Linked DNA regions of Schizosaccharomyces pombe. Changing the gene in region 4 together with the main gene of any one other region gives a genetic interaction. Each region holds a gene or a part of one and is shown on either strand. Other genes may lie near its edges. The genes, in order: SPOM_SPBC1348.10C, ppk9, fpb26 and coq11.

What was found.
Region 1: mutations in coq11 (region 4) and SPOM_SPBC1348.10C together harm fitness more than expected from each alone (negative genetic interaction), as found in Schizosaccharomyces pombe (one large-scale study listed by BioGRID).
Region 2: mutations in coq11 (region 4) and ppk9 together harm fitness more than expected from each alone (negative genetic interaction), as found in Schizosaccharomyces pombe (one large-scale study listed by BioGRID).
Region 3: mutations in coq11 (region 4) and fpb26 together harm fitness more than expected from each alone (negative genetic interaction), as found in Schizosaccharomyces pombe (one large-scale study listed by BioGRID).

What each region holds. Positions count from the first base shown.
Region 1 is NC_003423.3:25,248-30,850, forward strand, and holds SPOM_SPBC1348.10C (phospholipase), read right to left. Parts: upstream 3,126-5,603; coding exon 1,173-3,125; intron 1,109-1,172; coding exon 1,040-1,108; 3' UTR 908-1,039; downstream 1-907. Other genes in the region: SPOM_SPBC1348.09 (dehydrogenase), read left to right, coding at 1-379. UniProt on the Schizosaccharomyces pombe protein: Catalyzes the release of fatty acids from lysophospholipids.
Region 2 is NC_003424.3:1,604,198-1,609,284, reverse strand, and holds ppk9 (serine/threonine protein kinase Ppk9), read left to right. Parts: upstream 1-2,135; 5' UTR 2,136-2,195; coding exon 2,196-2,310; intron 2,311-2,481; coding exon 2,482-3,965; 3' UTR 3,966-4,212; downstream 4,213-5,087. Other genes in the region: sterol transfer protein Osh3, read right to left, coding at 1-1,123; COPII-coated vesicle-associated protein Erv25, read right to left, coding at 4,427-4,755, 4,889-5,087.
Region 3 is NC_003424.3:2,058,563-2,063,884, forward strand, and holds fpb26 (fructose-2,6-bisphosphate 2-phosphatase), read right to left. Parts: upstream 2,325-5,322; 5' UTR 1,916-2,324; coding exon 689-1,915; 3' UTR 501-688; downstream 1-500. Other genes in the region: sac12 (inositol polyphosphate phosphatase), read right to left, coding at 3,244-5,079.
Region 4 is NC_003421.2:2,273,091-2,277,582, forward strand, and holds coq11 (ubiquinone biosynthesis protein Coq11), read right to left. Parts: upstream 2,380-4,492; 5' UTR 2,109-2,379; coding exon 1,278-2,108; 3' UTR 1,077-1,277; downstream 1-1,076. Other genes in the region: pdi5 (protein disulfide isomerase), read right to left, coding at 1-754. UniProt on the Schizosaccharomyces pombe protein: Acts in the coenzyme Q biosynthetic pathway.

The DNA.
Region 1 (5,603 bases), on a different chromosome or scaffold from region 4:
ATGTTTGTATTATGGTACCAAGTATGCAATCGAAGGTATTTCTGAAGCTCTGACTTGGGAAATGCAAAGCATTGGTGTAAAAGTCAAGATTATAGAACCTGGTTTTACAGCAACTGAATTTAGGGTTGAAGAGGGTGCAGGTAAACATTATGCTGAGTACGACAATCTGAAACAAAAGTTGTACGAAGACTTGCTACCTAAATTGAAAACAGCTACACCACCGCAAAAAATCGCAGAAGTGATATTGCAAGCGGCAACGGATGAAAGTGATGAGCTACGATACCCTACTGGAGATTATGTTGTTGAATGGATGGCATTGAGAAGCAAAGTTGATGATGCTACATTTTTAGCAACACACCGAAAACAAATGGGTCTTTAAACGATTTCGTTCTACCAATTGAATATTCCTCTTTTACTGTTTTTTGTACCAAACTGTTGATAAATCTTTCAGCATTTATTTAGTTTCCTTCCTTTAGGAAGTTTCAAAATACAGTAAAATATTTAGTAGTGACTCCTCATATATTGAATTAACAAGTCTCTGTCTTACTTTTAAATGTTTGTAGTCAATTTTATTATTATCTATTTTTTAAAAAACCGGGAGCTTTTAAAACAATCTATCATTTAATGTTCATCATTAGCACAACGATCTTGGACTATTTTTCATTCAACTTGTGATTCCCAATTGTACGTATATATCAATTTAAAGCAATGTTGTATTTAATCGTTTTCATGCTTACATTCTTTCGTTTCGTGTCTTTACGTGAATGCACATCGATCTCAGATTGAGCCAACTAAGCCTGTTCATCCATTCGACCGGTTGCATTTATCTAAAAAAGTTTAGAGATAACAAATTATTCATTTACCCGTTTACATAGCTCCATCAAACGTAAAGGGTTTAACTGAGCAGTCTCACGAATGAGGAAAATCCTTAGTTCTCTTTCATAACGAATTCGTAACCAAGTACAATAAAGGTAAATCTATCTATTCTAAATTTCTCACATGCCTGAGAATCCATTGAAACAACATCAATGGAATCTTTTTACGGATTTTCTTTCGCTTCGAAAATCGAGTCCCACCAATGTTTATGAGTGGGAGTGGCTGATGCTACCTAGAACAAAAGTTAGCGATGAAAAAAAAAATAGTTTAATCAACGTGAATTTTTGAGAACATACAGATGAAGATGTTGTACTAGAGGCTGTACCCGAGGTTGTGCCTGACGGTGCACGAGATGTTGTCGCAGCAGACATTACGGTAGGATCATATACAGAAGCCGTACTAGTTGCAAGAGTTCCGTCCCAACAGTATTCTTGGAAACAAGAAGAGCACTGGGTAGGAGTACTCAATTTCTTGCGTTCCAAAGAGCGTTGAATTATAGCGCATGCTAAGCAAACTGCAAAAGATTCATTATTGTTTTGCGTAGTCGACATAAATGCATTCTCAAGAATTCCATTAGCCATCTTGTCGTCCATGCTCATAGTAAATGTCGATATATTGGAATAATAAGTCCAAGGGTAATTTGGAAAGTATACAAGGAGAGGTGGGGTATTATTGTCTACATCATGATTTCCTGCTGTAGTATTTTTACCGTCACATCCAAAAAACGTAGGACGAGTGTTTAGTCCCAAAGAGATAATAGTGTTTTCGTCCGGAATATATGGAAATCCACGCACATCAACACTCTTGTTCGCATTAAAGGTTACAACTCTCTCATATGTAGCAACAATGGAAGATCCAAGGGGCCAACCATAAGGATCATTATAAGTCGAATCAATCGCAAATACAACGTCCACAAATCGTTGTGGGTGTAACAAAGGCCAAAGGGGAATGTTTTCCCTATCCTCACCACCATCAACTAGATCAATAGTATCATACGGTTCGAACGCATTCACTACAGAGGTATTGGAAGTAGTATAATTTTGGTAAGGATTGGGATAAGGAGCAATATCATCTTGATGCTTAGAAAGATCTTCAAGAATCGCATGAAGAATATCGTAATAGGTATCATTCTTTTTGACATTTTCATTCCAGTCAAGAAGAAAAGAGTTGAATAAAGTAGCTGAAGTGCCCATAACAAAACCTGCATTATCATAGTTATGAATGCAAGACTTATCGGGTGGAACCCCATCCAACAAGTGAGTTCCCACATATTCCATTGGAATGAATGCTTTAATTCCATTGTCCCATGTACCAAATTCATACGCCGTGAACTCAAAGATACTGGTATTGGCAGGGATGGCCGTTTCTTCTTCTAATCGGCTATCCGCAACGATGATGGGATAAGGATAATCAGCATTTTGAAACCAGCTTTGATTTCTCATACTGGAATATGTAATGCCTGGTCCTCCCCTTTCAGCATCAACAAGTTTACGGGACAAAGCACGTCCCCATAAATCCGTCAAAGAACAGTCAAAGCCCGCATGTTTCTTTTGATCAATTTCTTTGCGCAAGTCATTATAATAATTCAAATTTTCAATGACATTATCCCCATGAGGAGCAAAAACGCTATGTTCCAAATTCCAGACATTATCACGTAAGTATGTTATATTCGTAAAATTATTAATAGCCACTGATCCAACAAGCCATGAACCACCAGAAAGACCGCTGATATACATCGCGGATTGCAGCAGACCAGAAAGTGGAGAGTCACTCTCGAATCTTGAGTCAAAAGCATTGAATGCACCACCTCCATTAACCATCGCCCGTAACCCACCACCTGAGAATGCAATTCCTAAACGTGGACCATCCGAGCTGTTAACCACCTTATCCAAGTCAACATTCAAACCTGTCTTAGAAATAAATGATCGGAGTTCACTGTTAACCTTAGAAATACGTTTGTTGATATAGCTCTGTTCGCCCTCATTTAAACCTTCAGAAGCCGGCCTCAACAGATTGTCGTTTGAACAGGTCACATTGAAAGGGGCATACGAAGCGTCGGTACTTCGTTTTACGAGCGCAGGTTTCCTTTTAGACAAAGTGTAAAGTACGGATGTATCAATATCTTGTCCTTTATACGAACTAGATTCTTCAAAATCATATATTTCAGAAATCTCCACACGACCGGGAGGATAAGCTAACGTCAACGAAATTTGAACGAAAGCAAAGAGTCCAATATAGTTGACATACATTGCAGAAAATAAAAAAAGTTCAAACAAAAGCTGTAAAAATTGAAGTTCGCATGGAAAAGTGTACTACACGGAAGAATATTAAATCATATATTACTCTGGCGCACTACACATCTCTGATCCGGAAGAAAGAATTCCGAACTTTAAAAGCCCCAAAATTTGTCGCGTTATCTCAAGATCTGTCTACAAAAGTGATCTTAAATACGAAACAATGCTTGCTGCAAAATTCGCAAACGTTAGGCGGATACAATTTAGTACGGCAAGCTTTTACTTTATGATCAATGTTACCTTAAATTTCTATTGAGTAACAAATGTTACAAGATATGTATGCGAACAATAATACCAGAAGCTGATCGCTCATCATCGAATGGAGTTAATTACTTCGCTTATACAAAATAGTTTGTTAGTATTACGATGCATAATCTGAAATGGGAGCGTGTAAGGGAATGATCTGATGATCACGTATTGATTATAAATATAAGTAGGAGGATGATAGTAGGGACATTCGATGTATGGTGAGAGGCAACGTAATCTAGTGTACTAGCGCGGATACACGAAAAAGAAAACGCCAATAAAATGCATAGCGAATTCATGATTCCACGTTTAACACATTGCATGCATTTCAACTAGCTTAAGTTATTTTGATCTTCATATACTAGGGAGAAATAAGTTTTGTATTTTCGAGTAGTCTTTGTTCATAAATCCTCGCTATTATCACAATTATTCGACTTTCATACATGTAAATATCTTTTCGCTTGACCTCGAGAAAACAAATTTGTTTGTTATTTTTTGCAACATTTGACATTATTTTATGATATGTCAATAGTAGTTTTAATTGCTCGAACGTACATTTGTACTTTTTGTCACACCTGCTTAAGTTGTACATCGCGGTAATTTCTTATTATTAAAGGCCATTAACCTGATTGTCTCTTTAGATCTCTCTTGAATTGTTTGTTTTACTGTATCTTTCCGAAACAGTACATAAGGTTGTAACTTTTCCACACTAATTTCCTAATCATCGTTATGCACAAAACATTTAGCTGAACAAAGTTTGATAGTTTTTGTATGGCAGCTTGTGATGCCTTTTTATTTGTTCTACTTTTTCTTCAAGTTGGAGATAAAAGAGCACTTTTTAGTGATCAATTATGCTTTAGGCTTATAGGTCGTATTTCATTTCCACGATCAATAATTACTTGCTCATTTACCCACATCAAATCTACATCGTGTGCATTGTATTTATATTCTCTACTCATGACTACCAACTATAAGCATTGAACAAGAATATGCTGTTTCTAATATTTGTCATTGTAGCCAACGTCGTTTTGGACTTGTTTCAAAATGATAGTGCTAATAATTGCATTTATATTTAATCATTTTTGGATTCATTTTTTTCTCATTTGCTTGATTAAAAAATTAACATTATTGTTGAATATTCTTTTACTGCTAATCGCCGTTTAGTATCGCTTTTATACTGCCGTTCTGCTTCTCGACATTATGCGACATAAACTTAACTTTTACAGAAATATTAATCTCACGAATTATCTACTCATACTATATTCCTATATTGGTATAAATCTTTTTTTTATCTAATTTTTGAATTTGTTAATCAGCAATTTGATCAACTTCTATTCATGAATATGTTGCCTACATGACGCTTTTCAATTGCACAGCAAAATTTAGATAACGTTTTAAATAAATTCACGTATTCTATAGCACGTTACCTAACGTTACCAAGCTGAGCAATAAACTTGAGATGTATTGTATTATCTCTTGCTTCTTTTTGTCTATGTTTATTTTTATCTGTCAAGCTTTCTTACATGTATGATTTAACATAATTTGGTTATTTATGAGATGCCGCAAAGAGTAAAGCGAAAAAACTGCATGGAAAGTATTGTCGTTATTCAACACATAATATACTAAGCCGTACACAAATTTATTTTTGTTAAAGATATATGGTACAATATGTACGGCTAGGCAAGTGCAAAATTAACTTCAGTGTTCTTTTATAACCTTTTTATTTCCAAGTAACGTTTTGACATGGGCGGATTTACTATAATCGTTTTGATGCGTCAGCTTTAAAAATACTCATCCGTGATGTTTTAGCATAACTTGTTACGCAGTATAAATAATTTACAAAACAGATCGATATGTTCAACTTGTTCATAAGTGGTTTAGTCGTTCATTTTAGTAACAAAATTCAAGCATTACCGTCAAGGTAAGTTTTGTATAAAAATAGGTTGGTTAGTCAAAATTTTTGATTGATAAATTTCAAACTCAAACATTTAGTGGCAGTAATGAACAATCTTTGTGGTAAGGTACTCTAATATTGCTCTATCAAGGTACGTTATGAAATTCAGAAATGCAATAGCTTAGCCGCCAAGCTCGTACTTCTAATGAAGAGATGTGCATTAAACATGGATCTAATGCTTTAAACTAATGAAATCCTTTTGAGAATTTCAGACCAATTGATATCGCATACAA
Region 2 (5,087 bases), on a different chromosome or scaffold from region 4:
CAAAATTGGAATCCATAGACATGCGTGACGAAGGAGAAGATTGCGCCGTACGTTCTTTAGTATATTCATGGTGTTGAATAAAGCATTCCAGTTCATGCAACAAAGACCCGAGTTGACGAGTAACCTTGCGTAAAGTAACCGCAGCTTGCGCGTTTTCAGCAGCAGTAATTTCCACTGAAGTACGGGTTTCCTTGTTTTCTTTGGCATCACCGGGAAGTTGTATACGGATCTCAGGGACAGAAAAATTATGACTTGAAGCCGATTTGATACGACTGGTGCGATACAATTGAGCAATATCCAGGCATTCACGTAGTCTTGAGTAAATAGAGACTAACTGATTGGATGACGATTCTTGTGTCCTTTCGTCTACTACGAGCTTTGAAGAAGTTTGACTATTTTTCGCCTTTTCCAAAGCATTGCACCAACGTAGCCAATCTTGGTGAGTATGTGCTCGTAGGTTCCACAGTTCTACGCCTGAATCAACGTTGATCTCATGCGTCTCTGCAGCAACGCTAATCACAGCAATGCTCAAGGGAATTTTACCGCGCATTACCGAAGAATTTTCGTTAGCATAGTATGAGATCGTGCCTTCCACCATGTTGAGAGTGAAGTAACGTCGAGCATAGCCTTGGCCCTTCTTTCGGCGCTTTTTAAGCAAGGTTCCAGAAATAATTTGTTTAGGAGAGCCATGGACTGATGCATTTGGTATTCTCGGACCGTTGTATGGTTGCGCGGTCAAGAGGAAGGTCACAGTTTTTGGTTTTGTTTTCGAAAAAGTGTTATCAAACACGAAGGCATAAAGTCCTCCATTCTCAATGTAGACAGAGCCCTCACTAGGCTTTTCCGACATACATCGCTCTCCTTGATAAAATAATTCTAACCCAGCAGCACTCAACTTCTTGATACCAGCTTCGTGAGTGTGTTGACGCTTTGTATGCAGGATGGAACGATCGGTGTTTTTGTTGGATCCATCTAGCAAGCTAGATGTGTCATTCTTTTTATGATATATATCAAACTTTATGCTTTTCCGTTTCACATGCAGTTGCCAACTCAGTAAGGAATTCGATTCCACCGTGAGCCATTGTATCAACAGACTCTTACTTCGTATCTCCACAGTTTCCATGTTGACTCATGGACTTCTACTGTGATAATTGCAAAACTTAGAAAGCCTATTTTTTTCAATTGATGACTGGAGAGGAATAAAATAATTGCCTAAACGTATGTGGTAAGAGATGGATTTTCGGTTTCGGGATTTTCGGGCGAATGACTCCAAGGTATTTTACCGATGCGGAACGTTCGGTTTTTTGGCGGCCACCTAATGTAATGTATACTTAAGTAGTAAACAAAGGGCTGGTAGCGGCAATAGGTATGCCAGTATGTAAACGGATACAAAGAAAATTTTGCACTTATCACTTTCCGTAGTGTGTACTTGGGATGCCTCGATCGGGCTATTTCAGATATGGCAAAATATACTTTACATTAAAAAATAGCTATACAAAAACATTCGCACGGTCTGTAATATGCGGTTTTATGTTTGTCTACTAGCATTGATGGCATCGTGCGAAATAATGCGGGTTTTTGGGATTAAACCGAAAATCAAATGTTTTCTGTAGTCAAAAAATCTAGCTGTTGTAATTTTTTATTTAATTGTCTTTGAGTATTTCTATTACTGCTTTTACTAATTTTATCATTATCACGGCTGTATTGTTGTAGCTTATTGTGCAAAAAATTTTGGCTAGAAGTTGGGACGGATCTAATGATGGAAGAGGGTAAATAGAGAGTTCCCATGTACTCATAAACTTTGAAAATTGGCATAATTTCCCATAACACAATACCAGCTCGATTTTCCATTTCATAACACAAAATTTACATACCTATGCATCTGATAACCCATAGACCGCGTACCTTAATTAAATAAAGTGCAGATTGGTTGCTCGTATCGAACGCTAGCGTTGTCTGCAATGTCGCCGTGGAGATGTTTACCAAAAGATAGCACGTTACGCCATATAATCTTATTACAAGGTTGCTTTGAATCACACTACTTTGCCTCGTGCACCTTTTTTATCGCTAACAAATTAGCATCAGATGCGCGGATCATGTTTAAGTCGGACGGTATGCAGCAACATGCACATGCTAACCACCTATATACACGAATAACGAATTTCATCCTATAAAGTCAGCTGGCTCGACTTGCTATGCAAACCCCTTCTTCTGCATCGGCAGAGTCTGAAAAGGATTCAGGAAACACCTATGTTGGGCCTTGGCTTTTGGGAAGGACTTTGGGACAAGGAAACTTGGCCAAAGTGAAATGTAAGTACATGAGGTGAAATTTAGTTGACTTTGTCTTGTAGGGGCTTGTTAATAAGATAGAGTAGACTACTTATAGACAGTAGAGATAGACTACTTAGGTGTCATGGTTATCTTGCGCATCGATCGTCTTTGATTTTGTTTTTGGCAATTGTACGATGGCTAACAGTGTAGTGGGCAAGCATTTTCAAACAAATGAAAAGGTCGCATTGAAAATGGTTTACAATGATGAATTGGAAGATAAAGATACGTGGAAGCGTTTACAAAGAGAAGTGACAATCTTAAGGCAATTGCACCATCCAAACATTATCACCCTATACCAGGTGTTTCGGGTTCCCAAGTACACAGTGCTCGCACTAGAGTATATGGATACTGATTTGCACAGTATGGTGGTTAAGCATAATCGACTGGATGAATGTACCACTCGCAAGATTTTTCGACAAATTGTCCATGCCATCGATTATTGTCATCTTCATCGTGTTGCTCACCGAGATTTGAAGTTGGAAAACATTTTACTTAATAAAGATCTGGTTGTCAAGCTCACGGATTTTGGCCTTTCCAATTTTATGCTTGATGGTTCCTTTCTGAGTACCTCTTGCGGTACTCCCCATTATGCTGCTCCTGAGGTTATTCAAGGCCGTTATTATGATGGTTGTGATGTAGATGTATGGGGTTGCGGAATCTTATTGTATTTGATGCTCGTCGGCGAGTTTCCCTTTGAGGATGTAACCATCTCCAATGTATTAAGTCGCGTTTGTAAAGGAATCTACACCATTCCTAGTTTTGTATCTTCTTCAGCCTCAGATCTCATTCGTCAAATGTTAATGGTGCTTCCTACTTCACGAATCAAAGTTGCAGAAATAATGCAACATCCTTGGTTTATCGCTGATCTTCCCACGCATTCCCGTTTACCTTCCCGTACTTCATCCTTTTCTTCCAAGCATCGATCTGTCACCTTTTCTCCTCCAGATCTTGCTATTCTTTTCGACCCTTCCATAACTTCGCCTTCCAGTAGTGTAGGTCAAATTCCTCAGCCCACAGATCACTCAGCCCTATCCCCGTCAAAACCAATGTCCATTTCAGGTACTGAATCTCCTAATCCAGATCCCGCATCTTTATGTTATTCGTCGTATGAGGACTTGTATTCGGCTACTTCGTGGCATTCTGACATGGCAGAATCATCCGGATTTTTAGATCCTACTGATATTCCACCAATTCCTTCTAACGTTGAAACTTTACGCTCTTCTCTTCCACAGAGACATGCTTCATTCATGAATAAGGTCTACAACCATCCATTATCCCGACCTCCCGCCCCCAACCGACTTCGTTCTTTACGCTGGCATTATGGGATTCAAACTGCCAAAAATCCAATTGAAGTATTGAGAAAGCTATGTGAGGCTTTACTTGAGTTAGGAGCTCGGTTTCGGCCCTGTGATGAGGAATCTTTTCTAAAGGAAAATAAGTATAAAGTGTTTTCATGCATTACATGTCATAATTCTCCTGTTTATCTGGTTATTGAATTATTCTCTATTGGACCATCTGCTAGCGTGATTGATATCCGCTTTTCTAGTAGTGATGATTCTATAAAGTACACTTCATCTTACAGTCCAATGCCATTTTTAGAAGTTGTCAAACAATTGATCCTTAAAATTGCATAAGGTCAGTCGCGTAACTCAACCTAATTCCCTTTTTTATCCTTTTTTTTTCTTTTACGATTTTTTTTGTTGTAAAGCTTTTGTTTTCAATATTGTTTGCATTTACTAATATTGTGAAACTAAGTTGAATTTTGATATTTTTGTTACGACTTTCTCATTTAGTTTCAATTAGAATTCACAGTTGTTACATTTCCCTTTTGTTTTTTGAATTTGTTAGTTATTTCACAAACAATGAAGATAAACAGTTGTAATATTACAACAGAATTATGCTAATGTAATTTACTACAATCTTTTATTTTTATTCATGAAGTTAAAGAGTGAAGTAGTGTATATGCATTAAATGTGAATGTTTGTCCATACTCACAGTAATTCCTAGTACGGAATATAAAAGCAACCAATTAATTTTTGGAAATTGTGGAAGTGCCAAGTATGCCGTATACGTATATTTATTGTTCATGTGAAATTTAAGGGATAAGATGCTTCCTTTGGAAAAATGAACGTAAATAGAGGATTTGCCATATAACAAGAACAAATAATGAGATAAAAGTAAGATATGCAAAATTCTTGACACGCTCATTAGTACTTTCATTAGTGTTTCTGAATCTAGCTTCGCGAGCTTGCAAATAGTAAATTTTTCCTTTGATTTCTTCAATGAAGTCTCTTGCACGACGGATATCAGCTTCTACAGGTTCCAAGTTGTTTGCTTTTTGCAATGAAGAATAATCATCGGCGTCAGCGCCTACAGTAAACTCAAGTTTGACGGATCGCTTTTTATGTTCAGACTCTATAGCACCTACATTTAAATGTCAGTCAGAAAGCTAAACTCATAAAGGATTTCTTTTTCAAAGAAAGAAAGGGATCTAAACAACGTAAACAAATCAAAATAGCCGTTGAAGTAAATACGACTTTTAGATATAGTACCATACCTGGTGTCAAAGTATTTAGGAAGCAAATATCGAGCATAGCAGAAGCATCAACGTCAAAGGCAACACTCTTCTCGCCTAAGACATTTTGAATACTGCTATGAGTGTTGCCAGATGAATCAGTTATCATCATACTCAAGGTTTGTCCATCTCCCATATTACCAGTAGTTTTCAGATTAACAATTACAAGGTTCTTTTCTCC
Region 3 (5,322 bases), on a different chromosome or scaffold from region 4:
TCGAGTATGTCAAGGGTTTTATTCTGTCCTGTCATTAGCTGAAGATGATAGGATTTATTTAATGACTTTAAATTGAAGAAGTCTGCTAAAAAATATGATATAAAAGCGACGTTTAATATCAAATACTTTTATCTTGTTGACTTTCTCTAAGGCTAATCAAAAAGTACTCTAACTACTAATACTTTGTTCGCTATTTTGTGAGTTTTTCGATATCTTTAGAATTATGGATTTGCTATCCTTCCTTGCTTAATTATTTGGAAAGTATATACCGTATAACTTTGATTGATCTCGAGAGCAACAGCCACAGTTTTGTAAAACGTGGTTGAAGCTCGATTCTAGAAAAAAAAAAGATAATTTTGCCATTCATGTCTTAAATGCTTCATAGTGCATTAAAGATAACAACTTTATGAATGACATACACAACCAATTGATGGTTCCGAGTAAACTACTTTTTTCTTTCTATTTTCGTTTAAAAGATTTGTTCACGTACAGTAAATACTTTCGGCTATCTGCATAGTGATACGAACTTTAGGTAACTGGAAGAATAATTAACAATAAACTTTGAAAAAAATAATTTTGTATTGAAGTCATCAATGCTGCATTTTATTATTAAAAAATAATTCACAACCTTTGAAAAATTCTGATCAACGTTAAAGGAATAAATCAGCACATTATGAAGAATTTTCTTTCAATGTTTGCCGCGTTGAGTAGAAACAGCAGAAATGGGGACTGTAACACGCTCCTCTATCGTTTCGTATGTCATTGGAGTGAGTTTAATTATTGTATGTAAAGGAACATTAATAAATGGTAATTCCTCAAGTGAAAGATTATGATAGTATCCATAAATACAACGAAGAATAGCTTGATGACATATAATAAAAACATCTCCCTGTCGTTCTAACTCCATAATAATCGGCTCTAACCGCCTTACTACGTCCATATAAGATTCTCCGCCACGATATCTGTAATGAAATTTATCATTATTTCGCAATTCGGCTTCATGAGGAAAATTCTGTTCAATATAATCATAAGTAAAACCATCACACGTTCCTGCATCTAATTCATCCAGTGCTCTCCATTCGAGCTTTTGGCAATTAAGGTGTCGAGCAGTTTGGATAGTCCTAGCCATTGAAGATGTCCAAACCGTAAGTCCTTTTTCACCTATCGAAAACTTAGCAACATATTCAGGAAGAAGAGCAGCATATTTTAGTCCTTGAGGACTTAAGCTTGAGTCACCACCTATTTTTCCTTCAACATTAAATTGACTTTCACCATGTCGGCTTAGCCAAATACTTCGTCGACGCGTACGCAAATTAGAGAGATAATAAACAATCCTAGATTCAAGGTAATTTTCAAGTTTATGAACTATCAGTTCGGCTCCAAAGTCCACAATTCTAACGAAAGTACATTCTTCAGCCTCGGACAAAGGTGTGTAGTGTTTCTCATACTCATGAATACTATCAAGGATTTTATTCTTCGATTCTTCGAACGGAAAGCTTTTGAAATATGGTGAATGCTGACACATATCAGTAATGTTTTCATCGATAATTTTTTGATTTGTGCAGACAACCTCGACAAACATTAAGAGCATATTCCGCGCTTTTGCCAACTCCACTATACTTTTCCGAAACTTTAGTGTACATTGGTTAAAATCAAGAATCGCAACATCAGTACCCTTTTTAAAAACGCTCTCCAGATTATCGAATATGGGGCTAAGAGTTTTAGCTAAATTCTCTGAATCACTGTTAGAATTTTCGGACAACGAATTATCAATTTCTTTCGTATCATAAAGGTGAGTAGAAACGGACATCCATGTCAAATATCTGGATAATTTCATTGCAGAAGATGTCTTGCCAGATGCGGGTAACCCCACAAAGCAAACACATAGGCCCAAAAGTCCTTCAATGTCTTTCATGTTCGATCTTAATGTAAAAAAGTTAGTTCTTAATTTAAATTTTGGGTGTGGTTATGTTGCAAACAAATATTAAAGAATAAATCATAAGAATATGACCAGGTTGCTAATCCTGCCAGAATCGGGTTGAATTATTAAGTGAATATGTTAAATAATGAATATATGTTAAAGAGTCGTATTTCGCTCGAAATGTATGATTCGCCTTGAAGAGCTTGATGGACGGTTTGCAGTACTCGTACTTATGTTAAGTATCCTTAGAGTATGTAGTGAACTCGTCAATGCGTTAAAAAGCTATAATTTTTAAAAAGAAAAACGATTAAATTAATAATATTTAACAGAACGGCTTAAAATATACAAGTTCAGAACATTGCACTCCTGCTAACATAAACAAGAGGGGTATACGTGTAAGTTCAAGCTTAATATACTAAATTGCAGGTCTTCGTTACGCAGTATTATTGCGAGAGATGTTTACGCTTCCGTAAGCTACATTAAGTGATCTCAAGTCTTTGACTTGGTACTAGGAGTAGTTAAATCCACTATTAAAATAATATTCAAAATTAAGTGTGAGCATTTCCATTTCTATAAGCATAATTATGCTAAGCTGATTGTAAAAGTGTATATAATCATTTTCGTAATATTGTGGAGTTTTCATACAAAAACTGTCGGGTAAGGCATAACTTCATCATTTTTTCAGTAATGTGAATTGTGAATTAAGATTCTGGATTGGAAGTATTAGAAAACGTTGCTGAACTGTATGATCTTTTAAAAAATTCATTTTTATAACATGTTCATTGAAAATATTAAACCAGAATGCCCCTAAATTGGAAGAAGTATGTATCCTAAATATTGAACATGAACAACACTTATGAAATTGAAAGAAAGCTTGGCTTTTTCATATATTTCATTTACTGTTTAAAACCGAGTAAAACTTGAGTCAAAAGCCTCAGTGATTCAATGGTCAAAGTTGCCCAATATTTAACACTGACTTAATAAAAGTTAGAAATATTAATTTTGTCTGCTATATTTTTTTCGTGTGTTATCCATACTACAATAGTTTGTTAAGGGCTCTAACAATTATGAAAATCTTAAATTACTAATTGATATTGGTAGGAAGCTTGGAGCAATTAAAGAAAATAAAGTTACAATTACCAATCACGTAAAATGATCTGAATTAGTCACTTGATAAAGTTGGGTAGCATCGCTTTGTTCAGTAGCAAGATTGACATCTATGAAGTCTAATGAAATAAAGAGTGAACTTCGAGTGTTCAAAGAGCGTTTTCTGCTAATTAAGAGTTATAGCAATACTGTTCTTTAGTTATTGAAATGCACAGTTAGACACTTTTTTTGAAAGAGCCGGAACGCAAAAAACGAAACACTTTAAGAGTAATATTTCGGAAATGATTACGAAACGAAAACCAACCTCCCTTAGCATACGTTGGTAGTACTAGACGAGGCCAATTAACGTATTGTCTACGATGAAAATATAGGTAGATTCCAGCATTCACCATAGGGATAGAATATAACAGACGACAGAACAGACTTGGATTTCCAAATAATTCTTGTATAGTTAATATTATCGTGGTGAACAAAAAAATTCCAGGTGCCACAAATCTAGTCCAGTGAAAACGCAAAGGCAAGTCCGGAATCGAAAGTGAGTCGTAAGGACGAAATACTCCAAGACCCAAATCATAGCTATCTTGCAGCATACCGTCAAAAAAATTGTTAAGAATATATCTACGAAAGCAGTTTAATAAATCTTTGAAAGCTCCAAAAATGGTTCTCGTTCCATGGCGAGTCACATCGCCTTTTAAGGCCGGGGTACCAGTGTAGAGATCACTGATATAATCTCCAGTATTAGCCCATATTAAGCGAAAATCTTGTAAAAAACTATCATATTCTTCCAAACTCTCAGAGCTAGAAAGTACACCAATATCGTGTAATTGCATGTTTAGAATAAACTGTGCAATGCTAGTCTGAATGACGTTCGTCCGATCTAAGCAATCCATACAATTTGTCCTTACAAAGTTGGTTTGCATTGCAGTAGTTTTAGATCCATGCTCGGCATAATATTTTCCTTCTATCAAGAGACTTTGAATTTCAGCAAGAAACAAAGGGAGATTTCTACTTCCTTGCTTATGATAATCGTAGTAAACATAAGACAAAGGAGGGTTTTTATTTCGTTTACATAATTTTTCAAACCCAGACCGTAGAGGTGCTTCACGTCCTTTTTGGTCTAGAAGATTGACCACCACAAGATTGTCCCCATAATCGTTGGCAAGTTCTTGAAAATGCTTCCCAAACACAGTCTCGCTATAATCAAGAGGTTGTAAAGATAATAAAGGTCGATAATGAAGATCATTAACTTCGGCCCAGAACATGGGGATACTTCCTCGAATTTGAGTAAAAGAAAGAACCATTTGTTCTTCAAGGGTGATGGGTGATTCGATCATTATTATTTGTTCAATTTCATTAAAATTAGCAGCACTTCCTTGTGCGTTTACACCTCTGGTGAAATACCGCGTACCCGCATAGTCAGGAGAATGTCGTGTAATAACACACAGTCTAAGGTTATAAGTCTTTAAAAACGAGTTAGTAATGGCGATATTACCCTGAATCATCGGTTGAATCCATTCTTGAAAGCCTAAATCCTTATTCGTCAATTCAATTAATTCATGAAATGCATATTTATTCCAAAAAAAGCGGTAATTATATTTTGATGTCAGTTCAAAAGATTGGGTTAGTACGCGTAATCTTTGAAGGGAACAGGTTAGATCTAACGTTGGACTAAAAAGTATTTGGCCTTTTGACAAATGTTTATTGAGCAAACTGATATAATGTAGTTCTTCCTCATCTTTAATATTTAGCAGACCCGTGGAGAATGGAAGAGTCCTTGTAATTGGGAAGATAGCAAATTTCCTTGCCCGATAAATATTGTTTCCGAGAATTGCTGCATGCAAATCACAACTTGTAACAAGAACTACATATTTGTATATTTTCAATCGAATAAATCCATATAACTGAACGTTATTATAGTCAGGTGTCTTGCTGAGATCAAGAGAATTGCTCAAACTAAGGCATCCGTCGACTCTATCTATTCGAAGAGAAGCTTTTTTTTTGGAACATGATAGATAAATGCTGTCTGGAAATACTCTAACGTCCTGATTCATTATTTTGTTGTATTTGAGAAGCGTAGATGCTTTTCTGCTATAATGAACCCCGGACTAATGTATTTTCCAAATTAGGTCTCAAAAGTAAAAAATGAGAATGCTATATTTACAAAAATTCAAATCAAACTCTTTAATGTCCATGAAACGATTTTTGAAGGCTTGATTTCCAACGCAGCGCCTGAGTAACGAGTTCATTGTTACCTGAAGGTTTATGCAGCACGTTTTACAAAACGAACTTTCAGT
Region 4 (4,492 bases):
AATCTTCAGGAGTAGATCCATAATCGTGCAAGTATAAGAAAAAAACAGGCTCATTAGCTTTTAGATTTTTGAACTCTTCTAAACGAATTATGCTTTGCGGATAAACCTTTCCGTCTGTTTCGTCTAGCTCAGTTATTAGATCAGCGTGCTTTGATAACACTTCGTAAGGAGTATGAGCCGTAAAAACTTTTTTTTGCCCGGCATTGTTATAATAAACAAGAGAAGGAAAAGAATTGATCCCAATTTCTTCGCATTTTTCTAAAGATGAGGCACAATCCACGCTCTTGAATTTTATTTTGTTCCTATATTTTTTGGACAATTGCACAATAGAAGTAGCCGAGTCGGTGTAAAATGATTGTCGTGGTTTTTTTTTAGAATCGATAAATAATACAAACCCATGTTGACGATGAGACAAGAAAAATTCGGAATTAATCTGTTTGAAGTCGATCATTTCGTATGAGCCAATACTATTTAGCCGCAAATTGGCTGAATTGGTGTTCAACAGCTTTCTTTCTTTAAAACTAGAAACTAAAAGTTCTTCTCTTACTCCTTGGTTGTCGCGATTAGCTGTCGGCATTATTAATTTATTGTTGACTTCTTTCTTCTCAACTGTAGCAGAAACAGAGCTCAAAATATTTTCGAACTCTTCTCCTTCTGGTGAATGCACCAAGTTAACTGCTTTACAAAAGGCATGGCGCGTAATCGCGAACAGGAACGCAATATAGAGAATAGATCTCCAAGCACCCAGCTCCATAAATAATTTACGACTGTAAGTCCAATTTGAATAAGTAAATTAAAAGGATTATGAACTTCTCTATCTTCTTAATTCTTTAATTCACCGAGGACCTTTCGAATGCGTGCGTTTGATATAGGTAGTGCGAGGTGTATAATAAGGTAAAATGTATGGTTACTACAACAGCTGATATATCGAAGCAAATATAGCTCGAGTTAACATGGGAAAAGAGCTTTCTTTCTAATTTTTTGAAATAACTTGTTTTAATTTTCTAGTTAATAAATACAGTCAGGAAGCAAATTTGGCAATTATAGTTGGAAAAGATTCTACGACTTAGATAACAGTAGTTCAAATGATGTAAATATTGAGCAGAGAATTTAAATTAGACGATACTTTTTCTCTTTGTTTAGCAATCATATTTTAACTTGAAAGTATAAAGACGTATTCAGGTAGATATAATTAAGACTGGTCAAAATTCATTACACATAACCCAATCATTCATTTTCATAAACTTATGATGTGTAATTTACTTTTAACAAGAGAATCATAGAGATTTTTGCTTAAACTTATGAGCCATAGATTTTAATTCGGAAATTTCCACAGGACCCTTGACACTGGGATCAGAAATAGCCTCCAAAGCAGCCAAAGCAACTTCCTCAGAAGGAAGGGGTTCAGCCGAAGCGGTTCCGAGGAAATTTAAAGCACCAGAGGTTGCTCGATTGATGCTGGATGAGACAGTAAAAAGAGACGCAAGGGCGCCTGTGAAAGGACGATCATTAAAGTTATACATAAAACCAGGACGGAGAAATATAGAACGAAGGTTTGAAATTTTAGATATTTCCCTTTCAGCTTCACGTTTCGTTTTTATGTAGCGGGGATCCAACCCGGGAGCCGCTGCATGAGCAGACACATAGCAATACACAGGGACATTAGCTTTGGCGGCAATCTTAGCTGTTTCAATAGCTAAATCTCGATTGATTGCTTCAAATGTAACTTTATTTTTAGATTGCTTTGCTTCTTCAGGTTTAGGTGCTAAAGGGTTTTGGCCAGTTTTAAACATGTTAGAGCTAAGACTATTGATTAAATGCGAAACTGGTCCTCTGGGATTCTGTAAAATCTTTTTATAGTTATTTTCCATAAGGATACCAACACTGTTCACCACTGCCGAGGCATCACGAAGAACAGGAAGTAATGAATTTGGATCTTTTTGAGCATCCAACGTCTCCCATTCAACATCATCCATCCATGGTTCTTTGTTATGCAATCCTCCAGCTCCTCTTCGGGATACTGAAACCACCTCGTAACCCTTAGCAATGGCTAATTTGCAAATATTATGCCCTAAAAAGCCTGAACCACCTAAAACAACAATTTTCATACTTAAAACGAGGGAGAAAGTAAAAATAAAATTATTTAAAGAATTTAAATCTTCAAATTAGACAATTTGATATAGGCCAGCCCAAATTATTATAAGGATTAGAACCCCAGAATTGTTAATGTAAGCTAACACCTCAAAGTTTCGTGATGCTTATTATTAATCTTAATAATTGAGAAACACAAAAATGCTGTCTCAAAATATTTTTAAAATTTCCTTTTACGAACAATGTTCAAAAAACCCTTTCAACCTGAGTAGTTAGTAAATCGTAGTTGAAGAGAATGAGGTAATGTGCTAGCTCAATAAGGAAGACCAAGAGATGGAAAGAGGTAATTAATTATCTTCTATTAGACTTATTAATTTATAAAAATATGTACATCATTTAATAAGTATGCAAAATAACCATCATTCATAATTGGAGTATTAGTAAAAGTTTGTCTTAAATGAGAGCGCTAAAAAAAATTAAAAATAAAAATGCTTTGATAATTTAGTCTTTAATTTTCTATACTTTATAAGCCATTGATTAATTTCTTAATTATCTTTGGATTTTAAATTCGTAATAATAAGATCTCAAATTCAAATACTTCATAAACCCATTTACAAATATGTTAGATTAATAACAAATTCAATTTTAAGCTAACAATAGAGCTTATGAATCATAATATTTATTCCGATAACCCTGAAGACACAATTTCGAGTTTTATGAAGTGTCTGAGAAGCCAGTTGATTGCTATTCTGTTCATACAGAAAATTTCGTGATTCATAGCAAGAGGAAAGAAAAAATCTCAAATTTTTTTTATTTTTTTTTAATTAATATTATTACATATTTAGTTGATCGATCAAGAAATCGTTGAGCGAAAGTATTAAATTCATATATTCTAAAACAATACACTGTGGTTTAATTTTATAAATTTAAAATAACTGATCGTTACGAGATCTATTAGAATTTTAAGTCTTCTTATTATTGATATCTACACCTTTTTTGTTTTGAAAATATATAAATCTTATTTTTTTTCTTTCATTCTAATCAACATCCTTTTTTTTTTTTTGAAATTGTTTTAAATCAAATGTGTATTTCATTATATTGTGACTGATAAAAATATGTTTGCGAAAGCAACATTTGAACAGATTGAGTAAATAGGCTATGATATAGTAAATCTTTAAATTTAATTTAATTCTCAATACCAAATAAATATTTCTTCAAAAAGGGTTACAAATAAATTAGCTATACTGTGGAGTATATGATATATCGATCCCCCTGATGTAACAAATATAACATATAACAATATGTGTTTAAGTATGAGTATATTCAGAATACATTGGAAATAACGAAAATCCAAATGAAACATTAAGCATAAATTTCTGATTTCTAACTTGCCCTTTTTATTTTATTTTATTCATCATAGTTGTCTACTATTCCAACACAAGTTATGATGTTAATGAGTTGCTAGAATGTTTATTTGCGAGACAGTAGTATAAATATCCTTTCGTAGCTGCTGTACGTTATAACGAACAACTTAACTTTCTTAAATTTTTCTCAATAAATACTTAAATTTACATTGAAGAATATAGCTGAAAATAAATAAACTCACGATGGCAATTTCTCAGCCTCTTTAAGTAGATTTGCTTTTATAGTCACTATGATCTACTGGTTTAGTTCTGTGTGCTGCTTCGTCAAAGTTGTAAGTCTTCGCTTAATTATTAGCGAAACTTTATTTTATCAGATAGGGATAATATCCAAGAAAATTGTACTACCAAGCTGCTTTGAGAAGATAATACAAGTACTGAGATGAGTGTAAAAAAGTGCCAAGGAAAACGAGCTGCGCCCTTTAACTTCATCTGTCTATATTCTAAATGCCACCTTTAAAACAAAAATCTAACTTGTCTTATAATGTAAAAACCCTAAAGCTTCGCACTTATGGTGACACATTTAGTACAAATTCTTTCTATTCCATACGTTCTTTGCTGAATAAAGAGCGAAGACCGTCCCCTTTATATTCGAGCCGTCATTAATTTTTCATTCAAAAACTAAGATAGTAAGGCACATCGATAACAATCTAAAGTTGTGAAAAAATTCTTATAAAACGGAATTCTTAAATACTTATTTCTTCCAAATTATTTAAGCAAACCTTCAAAAGAAGAATTATCCTTCAATGATTTAAACTCAACAACTATCAAATGAAGTAATTCAAGAATATAACTGTAGTCAAATATATACATCTATATTCCCCACGTCCATAAGATTTGTATATTTGTTTACAACGGGTATTTTTAGTTAGAAGAACGGTTGCTTGTAATGATGAGGAAGGATTCGTGAGCCGGATATAGCTGGAATAATGTTCAATACCTTTTCCTTTAATAGATCTATTTTACAAAATAAATTTCGT